Linked DNA regions of Schizosaccharomyces pombe. The gene in region 1 interacts genetically with each later gene. Each region holds a gene or a part of one and is shown on either strand. Other genes may lie near its edges. The genes, in order: klp5, dad1, spc7 and dam1.

The links.
Region 2: mutations in klp5 (region 1) and dad1 are lethal when combined (synthetic lethality), as found in Schizosaccharomyces pombe (2 studies listed by BioGRID, with this or other methods).
Region 3: mutations in klp5 (region 1) and spc7 are lethal when combined (synthetic lethality), as found in Schizosaccharomyces pombe (2 studies listed by BioGRID, with this or other methods).
Region 4: mutations in klp5 (region 1) and dam1 are lethal when combined (synthetic lethality), as found in Schizosaccharomyces pombe (2 studies listed by BioGRID, with this or other methods).

Annotation. Positions count from the first base shown.
Region 1 is NC_003423.3:1,708,581-1,714,049, reverse strand, and holds klp5 (kinesin-8 family plus-end directed microtubule motor Klp5), read left to right. Parts: upstream 1-1,932; 5' UTR 1,933-2,128; coding exon 2,129-2,159; exon of another isoform or gene 2,160-2,215; coding exon 2,216-4,836; 3' UTR 4,837-4,969; downstream 4,970-5,469. Other genes in the region: cay1 (cactin), read right to left, coding at 1-329, 376-468, 524-775, 822-947; IMP dehydrogenase Gua1, read right to left, coding at 5,169-5,469. UniProt on the Schizosaccharomyces pombe protein: Has a role in establishing metaphase during mitosis. Required for chromosome segregation where it generates tension during kinetochore capturing.
Region 2 is NC_003424.3:3,088,114-3,091,340, reverse strand, and holds dad1 (DASH complex subunit Dad1), read left to right. Parts: upstream 1-2,000; 5' UTR 2,001-2,015; coding exon 2,016-2,288; 3' UTR 2,289-2,557; downstream 2,558-3,227. Other genes in the region: taz1 (telomere length regulator), read left to right, coding at 1-104; Smc5-6 complex non-SMC SUMO ligase subunit Nse2, read left to right, coding at 644-808, 1,056-1,178, 1,294-1,758. UniProt on the Schizosaccharomyces pombe protein: Component of the DASH complex that connects microtubules with kinetochores and couples microtubule depolymerisation to chromosome movement; it is involved in retrieving kinetochores to the spindle poles before their re-orientation on the spindle in early mitosis and allows microtubule depolymerization to pull chromosomes apart and resist detachment during anaphase.
Region 3 is NC_003421.2:785,700-792,245, reverse strand, and holds spc7 (outer kinetochore KNL network protein, KNL-1 family member, blinkin, Spc7), read left to right. Parts: upstream 1-1,585; 5' UTR 1,586-1,631; coding exon 1,632-5,726; 3' UTR 5,727-5,957; downstream 5,958-6,546. Other genes in the region: mmt1 (mitochondrial iron ion transporter), read left to right, coding at 6,541-6,546. UniProt on the Schizosaccharomyces pombe protein: Acts as a component of the outer kinetochore KNL1 complex that serves as a docking point for spindle assembly checkpoint components and mediates microtubule-kinetochore interactions.
Region 4 is NC_003424.3:3,105,691-3,109,045, forward strand, and holds dam1 (DASH complex subunit Dam1), read right to left. Parts: upstream 1,152-3,355; coding exon 684-1,151; 3' UTR 501-683; downstream 1-500. Other genes in the region: WD repeat-containing protein Atg1801, read right to left, coding at 181-218; csr101 (sec14 family protein), read left to right, coding at 1,150-2,316; ubi5 (ubiquitin-40S ribosomal protein S31 fusion protein), read right to left, coding at 2,738-3,190. UniProt on the Schizosaccharomyces pombe protein: Component of the DASH complex that connects microtubules with kinetochores and couples microtubule depolymerisation to chromosome movement; it is involved in retrieving kinetochores to the spindle poles before their re-orientation on the spindle in early mitosis and allows microtubule depolymerization to pull chromosomes apart and resist detachment during anaphase.

The DNA.
Region 1 (5,469 bases):
GACAGTTTTTTGGCATCGGAAAAAGCTTTGTCCCATTCTTCATTATCAAGTTTATTTTTTCGAATTTGTAATTCTTCATTAAAAGTCTTTTTTAAATAAGCAATGGCCTTGTAAGATTTTAAAGAGTTTAGTAAATCAACCCAATAATCTGTATCGAGAGGGACATTGCTCTTCAATTTTTTTTGAATTTGTGCCTCAAGCTGTTCTAATTGTTCAAAAGATTTAGGGGCTAAAATCCTTTGTACTTCACCTGCTACGACCTTTAACCCTCTTGAAAATTGCCCAACTTTGTTATGTTCCATTCGAGAATTCACTAGCATTTTAACGTACTATAATGTATAATTTAGCACTTAAAGCATAAAAAATAATCCATACCTTCCAATAAGTTAGTCTACATTGGTTCGTTTCCAGCTGCTGAATATCACCAATATTTCTAGATATCTCCTCCAAATCTTCTGCTTTATAACTCTAAGTATGTTAATGATTAATCTGTTATAAAGTAAAAATAAAATAAGTCCCTTACTTGAATAACAGAGAGTGGATCAAACATGTCAACTGTTCCAAAATCAATTGAATTTTTTTCTCCATTCTCTTCCCATTCTGGGCCTGGCATCAAGTAAACGCTGACAAGAAGTTTATCTATAGGCTTAGAACGATCATTCTTAAGTCGAATAATAGCTCTTCGAAGCTGCTGTAAACGCAAAAATTCCCGTTCTTGCATTTCTTTCGTTTCCCTACTTCGCTCTTCCTCTTTCATAGCATCTCTCACTCTCGGCTAAAGGGAAGGTTAATTCAAAAACAACTAACATTTTCCTACTTACTAAATTATAATTTGCTCTTGCATTTTGATTTGAAGGTCGAAATGAACGAGGTGAAGAAGATCTCGAAGCATGCCTTTTTTCAGGTCTACTTCTGTTGAAATCGCGAGTTGAATCACGAAATGCCATAGTAATATATTTAAATTCAATGCCTTAAATACCAATATTGCTGTATGAAGGGTGCTTTCCAACAGAAGAGAATCCAATTGCTTTTTTTTTATTTGAAACAACTCAATGAGTAGGTTAAGTTTTTTTTTTTGAAATTTGAAACGTAGAGCTTTGTTATTTGATAAATGAACTTAAGGTAATCAATTACTTAGCAATAATAAGACTTATCCAACAATAGTAAAATTTATGGTTATGGCAAAGGTGAAATTTTATTGCATATTCGAATGCTTAGTAGGTAGTTCTAATTTGACGCTTGGTGGTTTGAAAGAAATTGAGCGGTAATGTTATAGCACGAAAAACCCCTAATTCATTATAGTTGCTATTGGTAAAAGTCTCAACGATATCGACTAAAAGGTGAAGTAAAACTCAGTATTTAGTACCTAACGAATATAGGAATACCCAATATAAAATATAGAATATAATTTTGTTTATAGCGCTCACTAGTCCTCTGCTTTCAAACTAATCAGATATTTAGGCCATCAGTTAATTGGCAATAAAGTAGCTAGTGCAGCAGTTGTGGTGTTTATAGAAGTGCTAGAAGAATATATACACTTATTTGATGTTCTATTGCAATTATAGGTGAAAATGATTTAAATTTGTCGGACGATTTATTAAAGTGTGATAAAAGTAAAGCAAAGCAAGAATCTTGCCAGGCATGTGTACATTATAAGTTACAAACCAAACGATAGCGATTCAGTTCAATCATCGAATTTAGTTGCCTTTTATAATAATAAAAATACTGTAAAAGCATCTATGATACTGAGATAGCATTATACACAACTAGTGAAAATGAAAAGGTAAAACAGTATTTCAACTCGATTTTAATCGTAACTACCTGTATTTGTGTTTATTGTCAAAATATGTAAATAATGTAATTGTTTACATCTTTTATTGCCATAACAACCATTCAAAACAAAGTGCGTTACTTGACTAAGAAATGTAACTTGGCAAATGCCAAACAGTCAACATTGAAGCGCACTCAAAAAACGCGTTTCTCGCTCTTTTCTACTGTTACATCTATTTTAATAGTGATCTTCGATATAAATTGCTTTTATTCAAGAAGGTTATTGGAATTGTTGTTTGCGAGTGCCCTTCTTTTCATCTGTTTTGGATGATTGCTTGCATGGAAATTTTGCTTTTCAATGTCAAGACAGTCGTCCATTACCGTTACAGGTTAGTCTTTAATGTGATGTTTTTTAAATTCATATCTTTTTGCTAACATAAAATAGTCCGTGTTCGCCCATTTAGTACAGCTGAATCTGCAAATTTAATTGCATCCTCAGATCGTTTATCATTTGGAACATCTTCTTCCTTAAGGAACCCTGGTTCAGGACGTCAAATTCGACGAGTAGTAAAGGTACTTGATGGACGTGTCTTGGTATTTGATCCCCCGGATGAAACAACGGCTACTTTGAGTGCCACAAACCGCAGACTTTCTACTTCTCAACAGAGTCTCGCTAGATTATCTAGAAAGTCAAACAATTCTGCGGGATTTGGCCGTGATCTTCGTTATGCTTTTGATAGGGTTTTTGATGAAACTGCTACTCAGCAACAGGTGTATGAGAGAACTGCCAGGCCGTTATTAGACAATATTTTGGATGGATTCAATGCTACTATCTTTGCATATGGAGCAACTGGATGTGGTAAAACTCACACCATTAGTGGAACAATGCAAGATCCTGGTTTAATATATTTGACACTAAAAGAACTTTTTGAGAGAATGGATCATTTAAGAGATGAAAAAATTTTTGACCTTCGCCTTTCCTATTTGGAAATTTATAATGAAACTATTCGTGATTTATTAGTATCACCGACCCCAAATCAAGCAAAGCCATTAAATTTACGGGAAGATGCAGACCGTCGCATTACTGTACCAGGTCTTACTTCTTTGTCTCCAGAATCTTTGGAAGAAATCATTGATATTATCATGAAGGGAAATGCTAATCGTACTATGTCTCCGACAGAAGCTAACGCTGCTTCATCTCGTTCGCATGCTGTATTGCAGGTTACGTTGATCCAAAAACCTCGTACAGCTGGCATCAATGAGGACCACACTTTGGCCACTTTATCAATTATTGACTTGGCTGGCTCAGAACGTGCAACAGCTACCAAATTAAGAGGTAGTCGTCTTTTTGAAGGTGCTAATATTAATAAATCTCTTTTAGCCCTAGGAAATTGTATCAATGCCCTTTGTGATCCCCATCGCCGTGCGCATGTCCCCTATCGTGATTCTAAACTTACTCGCTTACTTAAGTTTAGTTTAGGCGGAAATTGTCGGACAGTTATGATTGTTTGCGTATCTCCGTCTTCTGTTCATTACGAAGAAACTCACAATACTCTAAAATATGCTAATCGAGCAAAGAATATCAAAACCGAAGTGTTAAGGAACATGATCAGTGTAGATCGACATGTAAGCCAATATGTAAAAGCAATCGTTGAGTTACGTGAGCAAATTTCAGAGTTGGAGAATCGTCTCGCACAGATCGATTTGTCATCGCAATCAAATGGTTCTGATCAGGACGCTGTAACTCAATCTTTTGCTCATGAATCGAAGCTTGCAGAAGCCAGAAATTTATTGCGTATGACATTTGAGGAGACTTTACCACTGCAAAATGATACTATTAATAAGGTAGAAAAGGTGAAACATTTTGATGATTCAATTCGCGTACTTAAGTACTGGTTATCCTGCTATGAGCGAATACTTCCGAATTCCGCAGATGAACGAGTATTTTTAGTTCGTTCAAAGTTAGAATCATTGTTAACTCGTCGTGCAGAGATCATTGCTGATATAGATCCTGAACTTGTATACCAAAAGTTTCAGAGAAGTGTTTCTCACATTATCAACACATACAAACAAGAAGGTGCTACCATGTACGCTGATGTGTTACAGGATGAAGTTGACTTGCTAAAATCAATTATTGAGAATCAGGTTCTAGATGCTCAGAATAAAGTTGATGAGTTCACTCCTGTTTTAGAATCCCTTCTTAGAAGTTCTTTCAAAGCTAGTTCATTGCTAAAAGAGGGAGGTATGCAAGAGCTATTCTCGATACTGGAAAAGTGGTTGTTGGGCATTGGTCTTGGCGAGAAACCTAATATATCTGTCTTATCAGAAAGTTATAAGCTCAACTCAACATCCGATGATTCACGAACTATCAATCGTGATAGAGTTCATAGTTTTCCCACTCAACCCTTGCTTAATAATAACTTGCCTCGAATGTTTTTCGTGAAGTCTCCAAAAAAACCAGTTGTATTTTCAAAACGTTCTCCAAAAAAGAGGGTTCGTTTCGACGATTCAATGTCTACGTCTGACTCAGGTGCCTCCGCGTATAACTCACCCATTCAAACCTCTAAGTTAAAGAACATGAACTTCTTTAATACTATGCATATGCCTTCAACTCCTGCACATAAACGGCCTGAAAATAAGAATCAGATAGATGTTGAAATTAATCTTACTTCGCCTGTCTCCCCGATGTTGGAAGATAAACCAGAACCTGGACTTTTGATAAAAAGTCCTTTGGAGAAAAAGCAAGAAGTTAATAGTGAATCCACACAGCTTGATCAACTGCTGGCCGAGGACTCGTCAACTGACGATGTTTCTTTACCTCATCTGGACACTATTGATCTGGATGGTAGTCCAGTCCCAAAAGTTCCTGATTTGAATTTTTCCAGAGCCAATATGGACTCACCAACATTCATCCTCAACAATGAAGCTATTCACAACTTTGATTTTTCTAAACCGAAGACTCGACAAAGCCTCAGTTCATTGACTACTCTTCATCTTTCAAATCCAGCTAACATTATTAGGAAATCTTTAAGCATGGCTGAAAACGAAGAAGAGAAAGCCACCTAAAGGTCCGTATATTCAAATACGAATCCTCTAAATATCCTGTTGGGTATATTTAAAAAAAAAAAACGGATAAGCTTGATGATATGAATTTTTAATGAATTAATAACTTATTAGATTATATATTTATAAACCCTAAAATTCTCTTAGTAAACTTGCACAATTCGTTCGTAATGCACTATCAAATACAAGCGTACATATATGTCTGCCACCTCCAATGTACATAATTTTGTTTTTTTCTACCTAAGCAAAACACAATTGACTTGAAAAAAAAATAAGTACTATAAATGCAATTTATTAACTTTAATTAAATTTTTCCTAAATATCCTTATACACGACTAGTAAAGACGCTTTTCGTATGTAGCAAAACCTTGGATATCACCTTCACGGATGGCAGCGCTCGAACGTAACTCGAAGCGAACTTCATGCTTGTCGACAGCTTCATGAAGCTCATCAAGAGATTTGGTACCAATATCTTGAAGAGCGTGTTGCAAACCAGTGTAGAGATAAGGTAAAAAGCGAAGAAGCGAGCCCTTGTCGACGACCAAACCAGAGACACCTTGGGCAACACGGACAGCATCGTTTTCAGAGAAATAGCGGCCAGTAGAAGCATTCTTATTAACACCAGTACCTTCCATT
Region 2 (3,227 bases), on another chromosome or scaffold:
AAAATGTTACTGTGGGCCAGGCCTATTGTGAACTTCATAAAATACCTTACATAGAGGCAACTCCGCCACTTTTACGGGAAGAGCTTGTTAATTATCAATCTTAATTTTTCGTCTCCGGATAGAGTTTGTTCATGATTGCTTTTTTAATGAATAATATTGACAAGACTCGGATAGTTTTGTTAATCGTGTTTTACTTTACTACTAATCTATGGAATATTTTGAAAATAACATAATTTAATTTATACATTTCACGGCCTTAATCATCCTTTATTGGTTTATCATATTGAATAGTTGGTTTAGTAATAGAGGTACTAAAAGTCAAGCGTTAATTGTCCGAAGTATGCATTATAAATTCTAATTCCAAATGAGAATATTTCATAACCCATTCATTTGTATTAAACGTGACAGTAAATAAGAATTTATTTAGTCTTTATACATATGCCATCAATCTTCATAAAAACGTACTGGAGTTTAAATTTTAAAACGTGGTTATTACCCTTGCTTAAAAAACATTCTTTTTTTATTTAAGGAAATAAGTGTTGTGGCATTTAGTTTTCATATGCAATTAATAGGTTTTCAATCCCAAATTGCGTTGTCTACTAATTAAACGTCGTAACTACTTCTTTCTCGAATGGAATCGTAAATGAGTGAAGCACAATTAAAAACTTCCTTGGAGGCTTTAAGTCAAAATTTATTACCTGGAAACCAAAATCATTGCAGTTTCGACTTCCAATTGAAGGAAATTGACGATTCAATTAAACAGGTGATAAAATGTGCTCTAGTTGCTGCTGAGATAAAAAATAATGAGGTATGTGTACCATTATTACGAAAGATAATGGAAAAAATTAATATGAATTGCTTTTAAAACTCGAAAGTGGTGTTATGTCGAGATACAGTTTTTTAAAAAGAAGTTCGCTGTACAAATATACATACAAAAACATTGTTTAACTAATATTTTTCTTCCTCTTATTTCCGGCTATTGAGAGAGAGCCTAAAATAGACATAATATGACATGCTGCTTACTTTATGACTTCTGACTAACACTTGCCTTTTAGTGTTTGGACATGCTTGATAGCGGGATCCGAGAGCTGTTGGATGCAAAGCAGAGATTGTTATTGATGCAGCAATCGGTGGATACATTGGCTAACAAAACCAGTGAAAATATAAGTGATTTTGAAGTACGTACCACGGAAATGACTTTCCTACTTTTTCTATTATATGTAGATGAAGTAAAAACATCAATTTAGACGTATTTTTTTACTGTTTCATATTCAATTGTTCTAACAAAATTAGAATAAAAGTTTGTTGGATATTTATACACAAATTTTTAAGGAACTCATTCAAGAATACGAAGAAAAATCCGACTATGGTAAATATGGCACACAAGGAGAATACATTGAATTTAAAAAAACCATATGGCATGAGCAAAATACAGACGGTTCTGACTTTCCTTCTATGAAAACATTTTTTAATGTCATGAACACTGAAGAACAGGAAGCAGATGAAGTGATGGTATATTCAGCTACCTTTGATAACAGATGCCCTTTAACTTTACAACCAATTGTTCACCCAATATTATCGACAGCCTGTAATCATTTTTATGAAAAAGATGCTATTTTGTCTCTGTTAAATCCAACTTGTGTATGCCCTGTTGTAGGATGTGAAGCTCGTTTACAAAGGTCTTTACTTAAGGAAGATGAGATTCTTGAACGCAGATTACGCCGCGCTCAGGAAATAAGTAATTTAAAAGAAGCTTAGTCCTTTTCTATTTACATTGTAGTACTGATCCGGATTTATTATTATTATTATTATTATTATATTTAATGTATTTGTTTATTCCAACTTGTAAATATGCATAACATGTCTCTTTTGACTAATATTCTATGCTCGTACGGAAGCTTCAATTTTGGCATTTAATTATGAAGATAGTTAAATCTAATATAAGATCTACTTGATTGTAACCTTATGATAAACTTTGGCTCATGCTTGACTTTGACACTAGCCATTAACATACCATGTCCTCAGAAAATATGGATATTACTGAAAACATACAAAATGAGCAAAATAAAGATTTTGATGATATAGATTTTGAAAGAAGGCGTCGTCTTTTGACCTTACAAATTTCAAAAAGTATGAATGAAGTTGTGAATCTTATGTCAGCTCTAAATAAAAATCTTGAAAGCATTAACGGTGTTGGAAAGGAATTTGAAAATGTCGCGTCTCTTTGGAAGGAGTTTCAAAATTCAGTGTTACAGAAGAAAGATCGTGAAATGCTAGATGCACCTTGATGGTCGTTCTTTTCTAAATGTATTTTCATTGCCGCTAAACATATGCCTTAACGCAGTTTGTTTCAAAGAATTTGCATATTAAATTAAATTATTAGTTATTATATGTTTTTTATGAATCTATAAATTTAATAGCGTCCTCAAAAATTGGTCAAAGGTCAGGATTCTTTTAAATTAACTTACATATTACAATACACAAACCTTAAGTCACTTCATTAATAATGTGTTTGTATATATATATTAGTTTTTAATCTTCCTATATTCTTCTAAAAGCTGCCAATTTTTAAATAAGCCGTTCATCGTCTGAGAGGCAGAACAACTGTTGATGTTAATATTTGCATAGTAAACTTTTTCTTTACTACTATACGAATCCTTTTAGAAATTACCATTTTAATGGTATTATTTAAATTATAAAAGGGGTTTAATGCAGTTTAGCATAATAAAAAGGTAAAAGGAATCATAAGTATTCATTTCAATATCTTCTATATAACTATCGTTTTATTCACGACATGAATACCCTGAACCAGTCAGGGTTAAAAAACCGATTTTCAAAGTTTCGGACAAATATAGGCATATTTGAAGTAAAAGTAAAAAAAAACATTAAGACCAATTGATTTTTGCTGACATATATTCAGAATCAAACAGATAACGTCTTAATAAACAAATTATAAATCACAAAATAGCTCCAATAGTCGATAATCCATCTAAACCATATTGGCTAGTTAAATACCTGAAAAGATAAAAAGTTGAGATAGGAGCAAAATTCTGAAAAGGAAACTGCTACACAATATGCTTAGATTAAAAGAAAGCATACAAGCATAATGTCTCTATTGCAGCAAACGTTTGGAGTATTGGTTTATATGCAATTAGCAATGTTAGAATGCGTAAATAAAGCGTTTTTCTTGCTTCTTATGTTCCAACAATCTCATCAAATGCTATACA
Region 3 (6,546 bases), on another chromosome or scaffold:
GATTCTAGTGAAATACAGTAGTTATGCAACTATTAATAAGTCATTATTAAATTGAAACATGTTATGTCGTTTGAAACTGGATAACATTACGATACCGGAGATTTGTGACCATTTATATCGTAACATTGACTAAATCCAAATGGGAGAATGATATTGGGCTAACCAAGTCTGCTCGTATTTGAAGGCTTATACCAAATGCAACGAATAGAATATCATACCATACTACGGGATACACGGGATTTACAAATATCCAATTGTAAGAATTGTCAATTTCCCGGATTTAAAAAAAAAAAAAGAATGTTAGTATTGATGACAAAAGCCTTACTTGTTTGAAATACTGAACAATTATCATTCGTTTATACAACGCTATCCTTCCTGTGCCGAATATAAACATTTTACGTCCTTTTGTATTTCCATTCTTCAAAGAAATCCTAATCGTGGTATATGATTTATCATTCTAATAAAAAATATTAAGACAAGCGAGCTCAGCCATACTTGTTTTTTTTTTACTCATTTAAATGTTGTACAAATGCTAGTTATGTTACTAAGCTTTACTGTGATTTGAAAGCATTAGTGTTGTTAATAACACATATGGATTATAGTACATAATATATCAATTTCAGGTCTTAGCAACGCAATCGTAATCTGACTTAAAAGGATTTATAATTTCTATTTGTGATCAATATATCATCGTAAAAGGAAAAGTACACGAATTAATGTCTGGTCAATTTCACTATGGCTAAGTATAACCATGGAAATGAACAGGAAATAGTTCAGAATGAGCTAGCTTATATTTGCTTAGCCGGTAACCTTTTATAACCACTTTTGAATAGTAAACAATGATGGAACAGGTTACGAGAACCTCAATGGAAAGTAGAACATAGAATTACATGTGGTTGTAAGTTCATGGCAATATCCATCAAATTATAGAAATACTAACAATAAACAGTTTTTTTCTCGATTATTGATTATAAGCCGCTGGAATGATATTAAATAAACACACTCCTTTAAAGGAATATTCACGAGTATTATTATAATATACAATTTGCGAAATAATAATTTATAACAACCTCGCTACAATTTACTTATACTTCTTACAACCGCACATTGCTTTCAAGTTAATCCATTAAATTATGCCAAAAGAACAGTGCGGCTCATTTGACAAAACATTCAAGTGAATCTTAGATATCTATACCTTTTTGAAGTTTGTATTCCTCCATCACAGTGCGCATATGCTTGTGATGCTCATTACCTTATTGTTTACAGAAAACCCAATATTACAAATAGACCCAGTTGAACAAAAGTACCCCCAATTTACCTTTACTTTATACAATTTGTTAATGATAAGAATGAACAACAGTCATATTGTTCATTGGAACTTTTACAAATAGGATCTTTATTCATTATTTATTCAGATTAGCTAACAGGAATGATTACAGAAAGCATCATCGTAGTCTACCGTATCCTAAAAAGGCTTACAGACTCCTTAAATAATACAACGAAAGGCGTTCTAGGCCGCAAAAAGAAACTCACCGCCATAAATTTAACGAACTATCATTACAATTTCTTATGTTCGTCTTAATCTAAAAACAACAAAGTTCGTGTGTCGACGTGCTTTGTTTAACTTGACGATGCCAACATCGCCTCGTCGCAATAGTATAGCGACGACCGATAATGTTATAGGAAGAAACAAAAGTAGGAAGCGTCCACACTCGCTTGGAGGACCTGGTGCGCTTCAAGAACTTAAAGAACACACAAATCCAGCAAAAGGCATTCTAAAGAGTTATTCATCCTTTTCCGTAGATCCCGCTTTCACAGGAGATGAAGACTTTAATGATATACACACACAAATAAATAACACGGTCATTGGAATCTCTAGTAATGTTATGGCTGCGTCAAAGAGACTTCAAATGGAAGACCTACAGCAATTGTCGCGTGAGACGTCTAGAAAAAGTTTGAACAGAAGAGTTTCCTTTGCTAGTCATGCACGTGTACGTTGGTATCCTAAAGATCACCAGAGTGACTCGGAAAAGTCGACATCTAATCACAGCACACCTGAGCGAACTTTTGCATCTGATGCTAAAAACCATTCCCCTAAAGGTCCAACAACGACAAGTTTTTCGAGAAACGAAACACAATCATCTCCCCATAGTCATAGTGCCTCGATTATTTCAGACGGTAGTGATATGGACATTGCGTCCCCTATTCGGTCAACCGAATCAGATATGGTCTCTGAGGCATTGAATGCTGGCCATCCGCCTCCTTCTCTGTATCCGGAGAATGATGATTTAAGTATCCAGAATCCAACAAAAGCCTTACCTGAAGCAGAAAAGGCACTTGATGTTCACGATGCCACGAGAGAGCAGGTTAATGATAGAGAGGAAACTAACATGGATTTGACTATCCAATTCCAAGAAGCAGATTCGTTTTTATCACATTCCGAATCAATTAAAGGTCTTAGCTCTAGCGAGCAAGGTACTGTTTATAGTTTAAAAGCTTCTCATGACCCTTCAAACCAAACTCAACTTTCATCCCCTAACAAATCATCTAGTCCAACTAGTATTGAAATTTCGGATTTCTCCAAAAATAACGAAAATCACGATCAGTCGGAAAATAAAGAAGAAGAAGAAGATATGATGCTAACTCGACCTATTGAAATTCCGCAACACTTTTCCCCCATCGCTCGCCCTTTAACTTCCCAAGAAGCTATTGTTGACATGGATATTACCTCTAATAACATTAATTTATCTCCAGTGTCTCATTTTTCCAATGGCTTAGATTTACAAAACTTAGAAGAAGCGCCTATGAACCTTACCCGACCAATTAATGCTAATCCTCACTTAACTAATCATTCTCCGAACGATTTAACTAATGGAGAAGAAGAAATGGATACCACCTCCGCCTTTAATATCGAAAACTCACATTTAACTCTCCTTTCCCCCATTCGTCCATCGTCACGATCCATGGAAGAGCAAATAATGGACTTGACACAACCCATTAGCTCTACAAATGCACCCACCCATTTGAATGAAGATGATTTAAATCAATTTACCTCAAATATATCCTCTTCTTCAAAACCGAGAAAGGATAATAACAAGACTGCCAATTCTTCAAAGCCCATTCCCGACAGTGAGGACTTTATGGACATTACTAGACCTTTCAATATATTATCCCCTTCTAAAGAAGCACTTTCCGAAGAGCAACCAATGGAATTAACCTCAACAGTTTTTCCTTGTGAGAATTCTACATCTCATCTTGAGGTGGAAGAAGCTGCTATGGACGAAACAGTGGCTTTTCAAATCCGTGGAAACAATGTTGAGTTACCTTCAGCAGACAAGGAAAATGCCGAGAGAGAAGAAATACCCTCATATAGTGATAAGTCAGAAAATTTCAATACTACCTCCTTTACCAACCATGAACGGTCACCAAATGGGAACAATAATCTAAAATTTTCGAAAGATCCTAACTCTTCTTCTCCAAGTAGACATGTGGTAGCGACTCCTACTGATAAGCTTGGTACTCGGAAAAGACGCTTAAGATATAGCACTTCAAGTTTTGATCAAAGTACCTTGCGTCGCAATCGTCTTGCAACAATCCGTAATGCTCGAAAATCAATTTCAACTTTGAATGACAGAGAACTTCTACCGGTTAACTTTTTCGAAAAAAAAGTAAATTCTGGTCTCTATAAATCGGTTGAGCGATCCGAAAATTATCGTCTAGGAGCTACTCCACTTACCGCAGAGAAGCCATTCACCACAGAAAAGCCGCTTTCAAGTCTTCCTGAAGAAGTTTCAAGGCAACCCACTGATGACAAAGGCGAACAAGTGTCTAATGCAGATGTTGATTCTGGATTGAGTAAAACAGAGCGACTAACAATTCAACAGACTAACGAAATTAAGCACGTTCCAACTAATACGACTTCTTCTGTTAAGCTTCCTCAACAACCTTCGAATGAGGATGAAAAAGAGCGTATAACAACTGCAGATTACGCCGATTCAACTAGTTTGGAGCGATTGGAATCTCAGGAACCCAACCGGAATGAACTTGTTCAAGTTGGTTCGTCAAATGCAGGTAATACAACTTCCGTGGGCATGAATGAACATGAGAAGTCACCCGTCAAATTATCAAAAGGTGTGAGCAATGTTGATACATCGTTGGGCGCTTCGACTATTAACACGAACATTTTGAATCAAGACTCTGGTCCAAATGAAGAAATACCTGTTGGTAATGAGCCAGAATTTGATACGATGCCAACTCTACCAAACGTCGAGCCGATAAGCCTATCAGATTTTCTTAAAATGACCGGAATTGAATTTTTGGATAATCTTACTATTGCTAAAAGACGAGAAACCCTATTGCCAAATGCTGAAGAAAATAAGAAATGCAGTATCCAAGAACTTTTGGAATCTTTTTACATACAATTCCCTTTGTTAGAGTTATACAAATTTAGTTGTCAGCAATTACAGGATTATATTGCCGAAGGGAAGGATTTTGTTACTAAAATTGAAGAGGAAACTTTGAAAGAGAACCCGTTACTATTCTATGAGTATAGGAAAGCATCCAGTGATATGAGGGTTTTAATGGATTCACAATTTTTAATGATGAAAACTTTTGCTAGACTTCAAGCAAAAGGTGATTGGTACGAATGGCGTGAGGGTTTGATGCAAGGAATCAAACATGAATTAAATTTAAATTTAACTGGGATGCAAAGAAGCTTGACCCATTTAATGGATGTCGCGAATGTTATTCATCCGTATGCGCAGGAAATTCAAGAGAGATACAATGGTAGTATTACTACAGTACAGACATTAAAGAAGCAGAAGGAATTTGCAAATCAGTATGACTCAACTCTTCTAGCGCAGGCGCAAGAAAAGTTAGAGAAACTCAAGGTTGAGGTTGAGAGGAGACGTCGGCTTCTGAGTGAAAAAGAAGAAAGAAGAAAGGAGTTGGCAATAAAGATAGAACAAGTGACAAACTCTTGCTCTGATTTGGAATTACGTACCAACGCTGAACAAGATTTTTATGCGAAAAACCAAGATTTTGAATTTGACGAAATTAAGCGATACGAGGAGCAGTTGTTAAATCTTAAAAATGAACTTGGCTGGACCATAGTTTCTTTGACCGCGGGCGGAATTAAATTAGCTACAAATAACACTGCTCTTTCTCCTTATTCAGCCGAGGTTACGGTTGAGATTTTGAGGCAAAATTTCCAAGTTAACGTTGATATTGCCTGTAAGTTCCCTAACGAAAGTAATGCTTGCAGCTCAAATGTGCTCGAGCATGTTGCATCGTCGTTTTCTAAATGGCATTCCAAGGTATTTTCTAGGAACTTACGTCTTCTGAAGAAGTATCTTAACGATGTTTCAATTTGTTGGGAACAAATTGTTTATCTTGTCCAAGATTTCCAGCGATTATGGTACCATTGGCCCTTTTTGTCAGTTGAAAATGATGATAAGTCTATTATCATAAATGTTGAGCTATACCTGCGTTCGGTATCATCTAAGGTAAAGGTTGTTTTCGGTCTCCCAATTGATACTATCTACCAAACTACTGAAGTAGGAAAGTTTTATGCTTCTACATCAGTCGCTGTGAAACAGATGTATGCGGAAAGTGAAGGAGACTCTTATGTTAGTGAGGTTTTGAATACTCTTTCGGAAGTGGTGCATTGTACATCAACTTATGCCCTTTCGTCTGCTTGTCTTACTGTTTGGAACAAATACAGCTAGATATTAATGGGAATGATTAGCTATGCTGCGCCGAAGCGACTTCCTTTCCCAATATTCATTTTGTGCTTAACGCTTGGAAATATCATTTATCCTTGTTGTATACTAGTTCATTCGTTTTCGTTAATTCACATGTTACTAAAGAAAATGTATATATTTTATGCTATTTAATATTGGTGAAATAATAATGGTAGATCTTGACTGATAATGAAATTATAAATCTTTTTGTTAAACCCGTAATGCGCTACAAAATAAAGTGTTTAGTTAATATATAAATAAACTATCCATAATTAAAAGATTCTCGGATGTGCAAATCTGGTGTAGTAAAGTTTCACATTGATCTGATAAGTACGGGATCGACATCTTACGTTCTCCTAGATACATATATACACAATCGATAGAAGAGACCGATCCTAAACAAAACAAAGATCTTAACTAATTTAAGAGAATTGGACGGATATTTAGATTTTTATAATTGAAAGTCAGACGCTGCTTACAAAATTATGAGTTTGCAAGCTCAAATTTTGCAGAATTGAAATAGGAGGTTTTTTAGATTTTTAGGCTTCGCTCGGATTATTAAGTTATCCATTTTTTATTTTTGAACACAGTTTAATTAAGTAAGTCAAAGTTCCTGAACCTCGTCTGCAATTTCTGATAAAAATATTAATACACTTAAAAATAGATTGCATCCGCAATCGAAAGTTCACAGACAGCCGGTTGAGCCCTAATTTCCAGGTTTTCTACATATTTACTTCTTTAGAAGTTTTGTTTTATATATAGATATCCCTTTTCTTGAATTAACAGTACAAAACTCACTATGCTG
Region 4 (3,355 bases), on another chromosome or scaffold:
AAGTATTAGTGATGTTGATATCAAAAACAATAAAATAAGTACTTTGAATCCTGGTTAAATCCACAAAATAGTAAGCGAGACATATTCGATACCATTTTCAGCACAATTGGCCGATACGTATATTGTTCTAATGACTGGCTTGAGACAAGTGGAATGACCCGCGGCTATACACTTACATACGCTGCTTTGCCGCGGTACTTCCGAACAAAGAAATGCATTTTGAAGTAAAACGAAAACTAGTTGTATACTTGAAAACAAGTGTAATTGCTCCAATGTTTAAAATTACAAATATAGAATGTGAACAAATTTCGACACTTCAAATAGGTTCAATTAGTGTTACATATTTGAGGTATTGAAAGAGCCACTGAAGTTGTAAATGTGAGTATCGAAAATAGACTACAAATACATATTCATTTTATTGGAAATTGAAGATTGGAGAAGCTATTACATATGAGTTTACTGAACGCTTTCTAGAACTTTTAAAGCAATTGTCTACAGTTCACTTCGCTGAAGAAAAATGTGCATTAAAATGTTAAAAATTGTATATAAATCGTAAAATTGAATGATCATTATGATTCCGTTGTTTCATTATCCAACCTGATATGCTAGGTTATTCCCTTCGACTATTATAATAATAAATGAAAAAGAAAAAACTTCAACCAGTCTCCCTTGCTTAAATAAATTTATCTGGAAGCGGAATAGGTTTCTGGCCGTTCAATGAAAGAAGTGTCATTTGTAGCAAATGTTTCGTCTGCAGTTGCAAAATTGGGATCGTGAGAAATAACACCACCATCGTAGGGAGGGTCAGAAATCGAATGACCAGTACGAGTCATCAGCGTTGCCTTAAATTGGTCTTTCTTAGCTTGGAGTAAAAAACTTTCCGAAAGCGGTGCATTTTCATAATCTACGCAAAAAGCATTGATTTGCAATCCATAAAGAAAAGAAGAAAACGATTCGTTGAAATTGTCGAGTATTTGTTTGGTTGCTGACAGGTGATTCATTCGTTTACGAAATTCACTCACATTATCATCCAAAACAGCCAGTGACTTAGTAAAGGCTTGGAGATTCGAAGGGATTGCATTCTCACTTTCTATTTTCACATTATCAACATTTTCTAAAGGATTTTGAGTAGCTTTCTGGTATTTCTCCATGTTTTCGCGACTTTGGGTGAGATGTAGATGTTCTACAGCGCTTTCGGCAGCAGCAGCAGGAACATTTTTCTTCCGACGTTCTCAAAAACAGCCTGAGCCTGAGACTGTAGACGAAAAAGTGAGCTTTGAAAGTTATTCACCTTTAAAGTTGATGATTCAAAAGACATGGCCTAGGTTTCAAGAGCATAAAGAATATCGCGAATCGTTCATACGATTAGCAAAATGCGACTCACCCGACGCTATCTTAGTACGATTTTTGGCTTCTTGCAATAACGATTCACATGAAGCAAGTCAAAAGTTAATCAATACGCTACAATGGCGCGTAGATACAGGTGTTGAGCGTATCGTTGAGCGGGGTGAGCTTTATGCCAAAGAGACAAATGATGATCAGTTCTTGGAACAATTGAGAACTGGAAAGGTAACTATGTTGGGAAGGGACTTATCTGATCGCCCTATCTGCTATATTCAAGTCCATTTACATCAACCCTCAAAATTGACTCAGAATTCTCTTCGTGAGATGACCGTGTGGGTAATGGAAACTATGCGACTTTTTCTGCGACCACAAAAGACTTTGAAGGACTCTATGGACTCTCCTCAAAATGTGAATGTTCTGTTCGACCTTAGTAACTTTTCTCTACATAATATGGATTATTCTTTCGTTAAGTATTTGGCATCGTGTTTGGAGTATTATTACCCACAATCTCTTGGTGTTTGTATTCTTCATAAATCTCCTTGGATTTTCAGAAGTGTTTGGAACATTATTAAGGGATGGATTAAACCAGAGATTGCTGCGAAAATTGTTTTTACTCAGAGCGCAAACGACCTCGAAAAATACATAGACTATTCGGTAATTCCTACTTCTTTAGGAGGAGGCAACAAAAAGATATTCCAATACATAGAGCCAGTAGAGCATGAGAATGATGCAGTCATCGAAGATAGCGCTGAAAAGACTGCAGCACTTGCTCGCTATTATGCGTATTTCAGTGAATGGGAGCAGCACTCTTTAAATTGGGCCAAGCTAGATGATGATGATGCTCAAAATGAAAAAGTCCGCTTATGCTGCGATGCTGCAGGTACCAACTTTGCCAACTGCTATTGGAATGTTGACAAATATATACGAGCGAGAACCGTTTACGACCGACTGAAATGGATTGGTAATGTTTAAATTTACTCAATCTAAACGCTATGTTTTACGACTCAATTCTTTTTATTCTTTTATTAATAAAAGAATGCATCTTCCTATATTTACTACCTTTTACTAAAAACTTGAGTTTAGATCTAATGTCCTCGAAATACTCATGATTCCTCAATGGCGTTTTCAATAATCGCGTTTGCGCATATAAAAACTGTTGAAAATTCCACCAATCATTCAACCGTAGCTTGCTTGTTTAGTTTGGCTTATGTTTAGATTATTTATTTAAAAAAATCATCATGGGACTACTAGAAATATAATACAAATGAAATGTTTTCATAACCATTTACAATATAAGTATTTTCAATTCAATATAGCACATTACAATGAGCAATATAGATATATTACAAAATATCACTTAAAAAAGTGTTAATTTATTTTATCGCAAACTCATTTAAGCTTCCAATTTGAGGGTCAAGTGGCATCTACCACAGTAAAGGCGGTCCTTGTGGTTGGCCATGAAGGTGGATGCACCACAGTTAGGACACTCACGACGAAGACGCTTAACGCTTCCATCATCCTCAACCTTGTAGTACTTGAGGACGGCGAGCTCAACCTTCTTGTGCTTGTGCTTGATCTTCTTGGGAGTAGTGTAAGTCTTCTTTTTACGCTTCTTACCACCACCACGAAGACGCAAAACGAGGTGAAGAGTGGACTCCTTTTGGATGTTGTAATCAGACAAAGTACGTCCATCTTCTAACTGCTTACCAGCGAAAATAAGACGTTGTTGATCAGGAGGAATTCCTTCTTTGTCTTGGATTTTGCTCTTGACATTATCAATAGTGTCAGAGGACTCCACCTCAAGGGTAATCGTCTTACCCGTAAGGGTTTTGACGAAAATTTGCATTTTGGTTGTGCTTAGAAATGTTTTTCGAAATTCATATTTCTTTTGTTAAGTTGTGACTGCTTACTACTGCTGTACTTGGTAAGGTATGACTCTAAAATTTTAAGAATAAGAAGCCGAGCGAGAATTCAATATTCTAATTTAGCGGTCAAATTTTCAACTCGTTAA